2 linked regions of the Neurospora crassa OR74A genome follow. The protein of the gene in region 1 binds, or shares a complex with, the protein of each later gene. Links are inferred from orthologs where the notes say so. Each region holds a gene or a part of one and is shown on either strand. Other genes may lie near its edges. The genes, in order: NCU08024 and NCU03055.

Region 1 (4,490 bases):
CGGATAGAGTAAGTTTATTTCCCCTTGCCTTTCACATCTCATGATGATCCCATAACCACAGTTCTCGCGATAATCTCTGAGCGATCGAACAAACATGCACTACCATCTGACTACTCCTTCAACACATCCTTCACTTGCAACTCATTTGGAGGAACCGTTGACTGACAATCAATAGTACAGACAAAGTTGTTATTGTCACCGTTGCTGTTCCACTCCGTTTTCTCAGTCTCTACCCACTAGGTAAGCATCACATTGTTTTCCTTTCTGTTTTCTTTCCCCCACCTGACATCATCACCCACCCGATTGTCCATGATGAAACAAAATATTTTCAGTTCTGCTTCTGAATAATAATGAGCGATAACCAATTATACCAAAACCTTCTGATATGGCAATCACCCCAACTCTTTCTTGCAACGACAGCCCTCACCACACATGCTGCGAGCAAGTTGGCTAACAAACTTCAAGTTATATAGGATCTGAAAACGATCTTGCGTCTAGTGGGAGAGTCGACATGCCCATCTGGTAGGTACTTTGCCTTTTTTTTTTTTCCTTTGTCCCATGCACAATGATGACAACAGTCTATCCATTCAACGATATGTACGGGCCGAGCCATCCATCCGCACTGGAGCGTCTTTCGGGGCGTGAGGACTAGTTGTGGTGTCTCCCTTCGGGGTGTCATTTGGCTTCCGTTGTCCGAGTCTCCTGCGCACCGTTTTGGGGCGTGGGAGGCTTGGGCCGGCTTTGTAGGGCTGAGTTAAAACGGCTTGTCTGATCTGTGTCGTCTTCGCCTTCTGCTCGATGCCGATTCGCGTATGACCTTGAACTGACCGGTCAGTAGTTGATGGCGTGAACGTTTCATACGTTTTGTTGCAACGCATCTTTGACGAGGTAAGGTTTGTGTTCATGACTCGACAACTCAATGACCCCAGTAAAATTGGATGTAGTTGAGGATCGACGGTGTGCCTGTCCTTGACATTTACATAGGGCTTCAAGATATCAGCAAGGATAGAACAATGAAAACAAGAGTTGCAAAATAGTTGATTATCTCCAATCAGACCCAAGATATTGCCCTTGATGATGTGCAGGAGAAGTCCAAACCCAGTAGAACGAATGACCGGACACTTGCCGCGACGTAAGCCCGGTTTCCCTTCAAATCATCTGTGTCTCGAGGTTGAACATCAAATAAATTGAAGACACACCCTGATGTACCCATCTGTATTGCACACAGATGATAACTACGGCACAGACTCGACGGTACTTGCATTGCCACTGTTTCAGGTCGACTTTGCCGTCAATTCTGGAGCCTTGTCCTTGGCGACTTTAAATCCTGTACACTGCACTAGAACCCCTGAAACCAAGGCGTCAAGTCTGGGGTCATTTGTGGGTGGGTGCAAAATGCGCTACAATTGGCAGGACCCCGTCGAACGGCCGGGCCACTTTGCGACGCCATTGGTAAAGAAATCCATCCCAACCCGCCAATCTTATCTGGACTGGTACTTAGTACGTGTATCGATCCGTCAAGCTGCCCACAGCCCGGTGCGAACACCTCAGCTTTTTATCAAACGACTCGGTGCTACAGGAACGCGATCGTCTTGATCTTCCGCCCAAACTTCTCTCTGACCGCGATGCATTGATCCTGAACCGGCCTGGTCCCTTCTCTATCATTTCGACACAGTTTCGGCAGCGCGTGCGTCGAGAACATCCAGCGAGAGACCGCCCAGTCTGCAGCATCTGTTAGCATTTCCGGTTCGCAGGACTCAGGTACCCTGCGTGTGCGCAAAGGGGGGTTGAGGTGCTCGATAATATTGGCCGCCCCTGCAGCGACCATCTATCACCAAACAGCCCAATGCTGCCGTACGCATCTTCCTCCGGGTCCAAGGCGGTCCCTCGACACCATGCGAGCGGATATTCCAATGGGTACCCGCGAGGAAACACCTTTGAGATTTCTCCTCACAGGTAAAGTGCCCCCCGCCCCCTGAATCACCAGGCGAACGAAACGAACGTTGGAAGCTGACGGGAGCGGCCTCCTATCATTCCACAGGTTCCAACCTCGAGGCGCGGCACCACCATTTCGAAGACGGAAGGGACTATTCCTGCGATTGGCAATAGCGCTGGTATCATTACTTCTCTTTGGGCTGTTCGTTTGGCCCGGCGATTCGGGGTCTTTCTCCTGGCTTGGCTCCGGTTCTGAAGATTTCCAACTCGAGACGGTGCGATACTACGACCTGTCTAACGTGCAGGGCACCGCGAAAGGATGGGAGAGAGAGGAGCGAATTTTGATCTGCGTGCCGCTGCGCGATGCCGAAGTGCATATGCCCATGTTCTTCGGTCACCTCCTCAACCTGACGTATCCTCACCATCTGATCGATCTCGCTTTCCTTGTTTCGGACTCGAAAGACAACACCTTGGCGGTTCTTGAACGCGAGCTTACGGCTATTCAAGCTAGCACCGACCCGTCCAAGCACTTTGGCGAAATCTCCATCATCGAGAAAGACTTTGGACAAAAAGTTAATCAGGATGTGGAAAGCCGCCACGGTTTCGCCGCGCAGGCGAGCAGAAGAAAGCTCATGGCCCAAGCTAGAAATTGGCTCCTTAGCGCCGCCCTTCGGCCGTATCATTCGTGGGTCTACTGGCGTGATGTCGACGTGGAGACGGCGCCTACCACGATCTTGGAAGATCTGATGCGCCACAACAAGGATGTGATTGTGCCAAGTAAGCCTCCTGAACCCTTAGCTGATATTGAAAGGATAACTGGAAATGCTAACCGGACTTTAGATGTTTGGCGTCCGCTACCTGACTGGCTGGGCGGAGAACAGCCCTACGACCTTAACTCCTGGGCCGAGTCCGAAACCGCCCTCGCACTCGCGGATACTCTCGACGAAGATGCAGTTATCGTGGAGGGATACGCAGAATATGCTACCTGGCGTCCCCATCTCGCATATCTCCGGGACCCCTATGGCGATCCCGACATGGAAATGGAGATCGATGGCGTTGGTGGAGTGAGTATTCTGGCAAAGGCCAAGGTTTTCCGTTACGGCGTCCACTTCCCGGCGTTCAGCTTCGAAAAACATGCCGAGACAGAAGCTTTTGGAAAGGTAAGCTCGTCAGGCCTTCCCGCGTCTTTGGATCCGTCTAACCGCTATGGTAACAGATGTCGAGAAGGATGGGCTTCTCAGTTGTTGGCCTTCCTCATTATACTATCTGGCATTTGTACGAGCCTAGTGTAGACGATATTAAGCACATGGAGGTAAGCAATCACGCATCTGGTTATGCAAGTTTGACAGGTCCCTAACAGTCGGCAGCAAATGGAGCAGGAGAGACTCGCTCGCGAGAAGGAGGAAAAGGAGAAAGCGATGAAGGAGCAGAAGATGAAGGAGTCTTTTGGCGACGCCACTGGCCAATGGGAGAAGGACAAGAACGAAATACAAAACCTCGCCATGCAGGAGAACAAGAAGGCGGAAGAGCAACCAGCAGCAGGACAACAAGGCGGACCGGCTGACGGACCAGCCAATGCTGCTCCCAAGGAGGAGAAGAAGGAGGGCACTCAGTGAGCTGTGCTCGAGTGTCCACTCGGTTTTTTTTTTCTATATTTTCTTCTATCTTTTTAATACTGCCTCTTTCGCTATATTTCTGCATCCTCATCTCTGGTTTAACGTTGTGTTTCGCCAAGTGGACGCATACCAAAGAAAAATGGGTGGGAGGCACTTGTGAAGCCGCCCGCTTATACATCTACCTATTATGTACAATGGGCAGTTGGAGAGGGAGGGTCAGATATCAGGGATATGTAATTGGCGACGGTTCACACCGCATTCACCTCATGTCAGGAACGGACCGGAAAGACAAAATCTTATGGAGGGTAATCTAAGATCATGTATACTAGAAGCGTTTCGCGGCCAACGAGTTCAAAAAAAATCATAGCAGAGGCGTTCCGGGAAATGTCTTTTTTGCTTTGCAGTCTGCTACAGCGACCACAAATGGGTTGAGTGCACAATACTGACGCCTCTCTGGTCGCTTCATCCTGTTGTCTGAGCGTAGCGGCCGGATGTCTCTCGATTGGCTACCCGGTGGTAGTTGCTATTTGGCTTCGGGCCCAGGCCGCGAATGGAGACACGCCGGCTGCCCGGTGCCTTTGACATCAGACTGCGTCTCGGGAGGTACGTCGACCTCCAAATGTGCTCCCCCTAAAATTTGCATAGGTAAGCACATGCATACAAGTTTGTGATTAGCGATATCTGTTCTTGAAGAGAAAAAAACGAAAAACAAAAAAGGACAGGAGCAAGACTCAAAACCCTCCGTGTTGTCACAAGAGCACTGCCGTTGGCGAGGTACATCCCTTCTATACATCAGACTAGTCTAGTGTACACAGAGGTATAATAGGTAGGTAACTTGGCGTAGTATTAGTTGTCAGCCGCGGCGGCCACTGATAGGTAGGTGTACATAGTACTGGATCTCCAAAGGACATTTGTTACTACCTGCGCTAGAGGTACCTT
Region 2 (4,539 bases), on another chromosome or scaffold:
CTCTAGTTGCTGGCGGCGTACCGTGGAGGGCTCAACACAACATTAACTTCGAGCGATCGAATAGAAACGTCGTGAGTATCGTGTCGTTCGCATCAGGGTTTCAAGACTGTAGGTGATGTGTTTTAGAACTTGACCTTCTTTCCGGTCAACTTGAACCAGATCCAGCAAAGGAGGTCCTCCTTGAATCGTTCCCACAACGACCGGTTGAGGTGATAGCTCAGCTCGCGGAAGTTGTACATCTCACCCCAGCAGTCTCGGCCCCATTCACATCCGGCCATGTTGACCAGGAAATCCCGATCCTTCTGGTCGTAATGTATGCGCGGATCAGTGCCCTTTTCAGAGCAGGCGCCTGTAGGGAAACTGTTGATCATGCGCTGCGGAAGGAAGGCCGTACTCTTCCGAATCCAAGGTTGCGCAGTGTAAAGCTGCTCCAAGGCATCTTGCTCCTTGTGTTCCCACTCCATGTGCTTCTGTTCGTATGCCACAGGATCCCACCAAACATCAAGTAAATGATCCGTCCAAGTGCCGCGGCGCATGAAGAAGGAACCCAAATTGAATCCAGAGCAATCCTGCGACAACATGAGGTGAATCGAGTTCGGGTTGCCATCTCCAATCGGACTTTTCGAGAGTTCGTCGAGGTAAGGGTCGGCCGGGGGGTGAGAGATGTTCAACGGATTGTACTCATTGATGTCGCGGTAGGTGACATCCTCGATGTGGTCGAAAATATGGTCCTGCAGAGACTTCGATGGCTCCATAATGAAGGTGTTGAGGTCAAGCCACCAAACCCTGGGAGAAAATCAGCCACGGATCACATCCAGGAAGCGACAGAGTGGGAACTTACCATTCTGCCTTGGGATACTTTCGCAGAGTGGAGCGGATGAAATCAACCTTTTCCCAGCTCTCGCGCCATTCATGCGCATAGCGTTTCTTTGTGCTCATGTCGACAATCTCGAGATCGTATCCCCACTTGGCAACGTATTTCTTCTTGTTGCGAATCGAGTCCCTCTCGATTGCCCATTCCCTGGCGCCCTTCCACTCCATGACACCACCGCCAACGTTGGCAGCTAGAATGATGACAAACTTTTGACCCCCACCAAGCCATGATGTTCTTCGGTAGTAGTAAACCAGAGCTTTCCAGGGTGTCAGGTCACTGTATGATCGATCCAAGGTGGGGGGTTGCAAAGACTCACGAGTGCTGTAAAAGATGATGTATCCGAGCAGGAACAAGAGGGCAAAGGCTAGCAGCATCTTGGTCCTCCTGCTCATCCTCCCCGTGATGCCTCGTATCCTGCCGAGTCGTGGCATGTTCCATCGACCTTGGCCAATCTTCTCTCTCTCGGCGCCATGGGTGTTGTCGGCCTTGAATCGGGGCAGCGAACTTGATATCCGACGCATGTGGCGGCTAAAGAAGCCCTGGTTCTGTGTCGAGAAGGACTGGTATGCGGCGCCGCCCATGTTTTTTTGCCTTTCCCACATGACGGGCGTCCCGTTGGATCCGGCGTAGGCCTTGGTAGGACTCGATCGACCGCTCGGGCTGAGGTTGTTTGTAAGGCCTGGACTTGCCCAGCCACCACCGGGAACGGGAGAAGGACTGCGGGACAGCGACATTGCAGTGATCGGGGTGCCTAGAGCAGACGGAAGGACCAAGCGACAGTCAGTAACACGCGGATGACATCGGACAAGTGCCCAGCGGCCAGACGGGTGAAAGTGAGACGGCGGCCGTGAGACCGCTGGTGGCAGTCACGGGCGTGGGACAGGGCAAAAAGACAACAGGGGAAGAACACGTACCCGGGATGGGCGAGAGGCTGTTGGGGTCGTAGTTGCCGTGATGGGGCTCAACCCCAAGGAGGAGGCCCGAGGGAGATCGGCGATTGTCCAATCGGAGTTCGCTGGGAGGGTTAACGGCGGACGACCGTCTTCGGTGATGGGAGCGGGCCGGAGGGTCGCTGTAGGAGGACGAGGTCCCGTTGCCGTTGGGGGAAAGGGTCGCCAGCTTTGCGGATTTGCGACTTCACCAGGTGGCACTATGGGCCCTCTGGTGATATCGCGCAGGGGTGTAGGGGGGTAGCTGGGCTTCCTTGCCGTGGAGGCTCAAGGGCCCAAGCCAGAGGCTGACGGACGGACTGACAAAGTGACGGCTGAATCCACGTTGCAACGGAGGGCCGCCTGACTCGAGATACGGTACGTCGGTACGTAGCGGTTGGTGGTTACGGTGGGCTGGCTGGCCTTGGTGGCTGCGCTGCGTACGGTCGGATGGGTGTCCGTGGTAGTTAGGCTCTACCCAAAGAAGGCAGACTGCGTGTACTGTCGAATACTGAATGTGCTCGTGCGGTACAACCGAGAGGATCTGGTCGTCCAAGAAGGGGATGTGGACGGATGGGGATGGGACAAAGGGGACCAAGGACCCGGTGTGTCTTGGAGACGTCCGAGTTTCGGGTTGGGGTGCAGGGCGCGCAGGCTGCTGTTGGAGGAAGAGACCCGGCGCCTGTGGTGGCTCTGGATGGTAGGCGGGTGCTGCAGAAGCGGCACCTGGACACGATATGCCAACCTTGAACCCAGCCGGGCAGCTGTTGCTTGAAGATGCCCGGATTCCCTTCGGCTGTATGCCGGGCAGATGTCGTTCAGTGGATCGCTCGCCGCGCTCGATTACCTAACGGTTGCTTGGATTATGCGTCGGTGTCTTGGTGGACGGGAAGAAGAGGTAACAAACGAGATCTTCAGAGACAACTCAACGCAGATTGTTTCACTAGGAGAGTGAATCTCTTGACCGTTTCAGCTATGGAAAAATTCCAGTGACCGTGGGCTAAAAATCACTTTCAGATGAAGAACAGCCCTGCCCGTCCACTAAATGGCCAGCGTGGACAAGCGTGTTTAAACCTTCCATCCTCCCCAAATTCATCGCGACCCCCCGGCCGTCCCCAGATATTCTAGGGGCTTTCTCCGTCAACAACATTTTTTTTCTCTGTTTTAGCGGCCAACTTTTCAACAGCTACCCACGCCAAGATTGCCCCGACACATGCAGGGCACCACCCAGGGCCTGTTCACTGCGACCCCTGTCTATTTCTTGGAGTCTAGGTACACAGTACACTACGGTCCAGGGTGGTTGCGACTAATTGCGACACCTGGACGGTGATGGCATGCAATTTCACCTAGAGCGGGAATCCTTAACACGTTCTGATAACGGCTCGCGGAAGGCCCAATCCTTTTCCTGAATGCCTTCACCGTCTTTAGACTTAAATTTTTCAAAGCATGGAAAGGGGGAGCAGACGCTAATGTTGAACAGGGATGTCGGGCGTGGACTTGACCTGCTTTCGTTGGGTGCCTTGCAGCCTTCACGGTACCGGCGGGCAGTACAAGCGCATTGGGCATTGGACCCCTTCAACTCTCGGCTTTTTTTTTTTTTTCTTCCTCGACAATCCTGGGGCTGTACTGTAGGTAGTGTACCTGACGGCTCTGCAACAGAACGCAGGAGCTAATGACAACGTTCCAATCCAACTCATCAAGCGCTTGGGGGCAGCAACTTGGGGAATTTGAGGGAGACCTTCAACTTCTCCCGAAACCGTTTTGCTGACTGATTTTTTTTTTCTTTCAAAATCCCCCTCTCAGCCCGGCCAAGGGCACTAGTTACAGAAAAATTACCGGATGTGGGACAAAGTACAAACATGTTTTGGCTTGCAGTCTTCGGCCGATTGCGCAACAGAAAGCTAATTGACCAACCCCCCCTGCTTGAGATGGTTATCTCTTGGCTCTGATCCGGCGCTACGGAAGACTGACGCGGAGTTGGTTCGCTGGGCGAACTGGGCGATTCTTTTGCCCCTTGTCTAAGCCAGAGCCGAATAATGTTGCGGGTGATGTGGTGATGTTCGCAATTTAAAGGGGGTCAAATCTCCTTGTCTCCCCTCCGTTGTTTCACCATTCTAGCACCCGCTCAAACCTGGTCCTCAACGGAGATAGAGGTCATGGGGGTCTGCACTTAATGAACGACTATGGGGTACCCCACGGCACGCCATCTCGATCCCTACCTAAGATGATGCTAATGACGATACATTTTCTGGATGATAGGTGGTAACCTATGGCAGAAATGGCATCTCGACCTCCAGATGTCAACTCATATCGAGGATGGCTACGGTACCCATGAACCTTTAATGGTTCACTGTGGTGGCGTGTAGCAGAACATCGCTGGTAACCTACCATCGGCTACTAAACTTTTAGCATTATCAACGGAGATGGCAGACCAACTAGACGTACTCTCGTAGGGGCCCCACGATAAACTGGATCAACTGGCGGAGTGATTCCTGACGATCCTCCTTTTCTTGACCACCCCAGGTGTCCTGGTCTTGAATGAGAGGACGCTGGAGCTACTCGGTAGGTGGCAATCTTTGCTAGAAGCTTCAGAACACTGATCATAGTCTTCAGCCCCTGCAATAAGAGGAAGCCAAGCTCATGGCCTAGCCGCCCTGATGGTTGGACAGTTTGTTTGTTAAACACACATAATGGATGTGGAAGAACACATGTCCATCTTCAATATCCATGATGCAA

Evidence for each region.
Region 2: NCU08024 (region 1) and NCU03055 share a complex: the UniProt entries of both Saccharomyces cerevisiae proteins name them as parts of the M-Pol II complex. The link is inferred for Neurospora crassa OR74A from reciprocal best matches to the Saccharomyces cerevisiae genes ANP1 and MNN10.

What each region holds. Positions count from the first base shown.
Region 1 is NC_026504.1:3,953,188-3,957,677, reverse strand, and holds NCU08024 (mannan polymerase II complex ANP1 subunit), read left to right. Parts: upstream 1-1,515; 5' UTR 1,516-1,846; coding exon 1,847-1,956; intron 1,957-2,041; coding exon 2,042-2,712; intron 2,713-2,775; coding exon 2,776-3,095; intron 3,096-3,151; coding exon 3,152-3,247; intron 3,248-3,302; coding exon 3,303-3,551; 3' UTR 3,552-3,959; downstream 3,960-4,490. UniProt on the Saccharomyces cerevisiae protein: Involved in the organization of the secretory pathway. Required to maintain a functional Golgi apparatus.
Region 2 is NC_026501.1:4,355,664-4,360,202, reverse strand, and holds the start of NCU03055 (alpha-1,6-mannosyltransferase subunit), read right to left. Parts: upstream 2,821-4,539; 5' UTR 1,789-2,820; intron 1,626-1,788; 5' UTR 1,609-1,625; coding exon 1,191-1,608; intron 1,131-1,190; coding exon 842-1,130; intron 787-841; coding exon 123-786; 3' UTR 1-122. UniProt on the Saccharomyces cerevisiae protein: Required for polarized growth and efficient budding. The M-Pol II complex possesses alpha-1,6-mannosyltransferase activity and is probably involved in the elongation of the mannan backbone of N-linked glycans on cell wall and periplasmic proteins.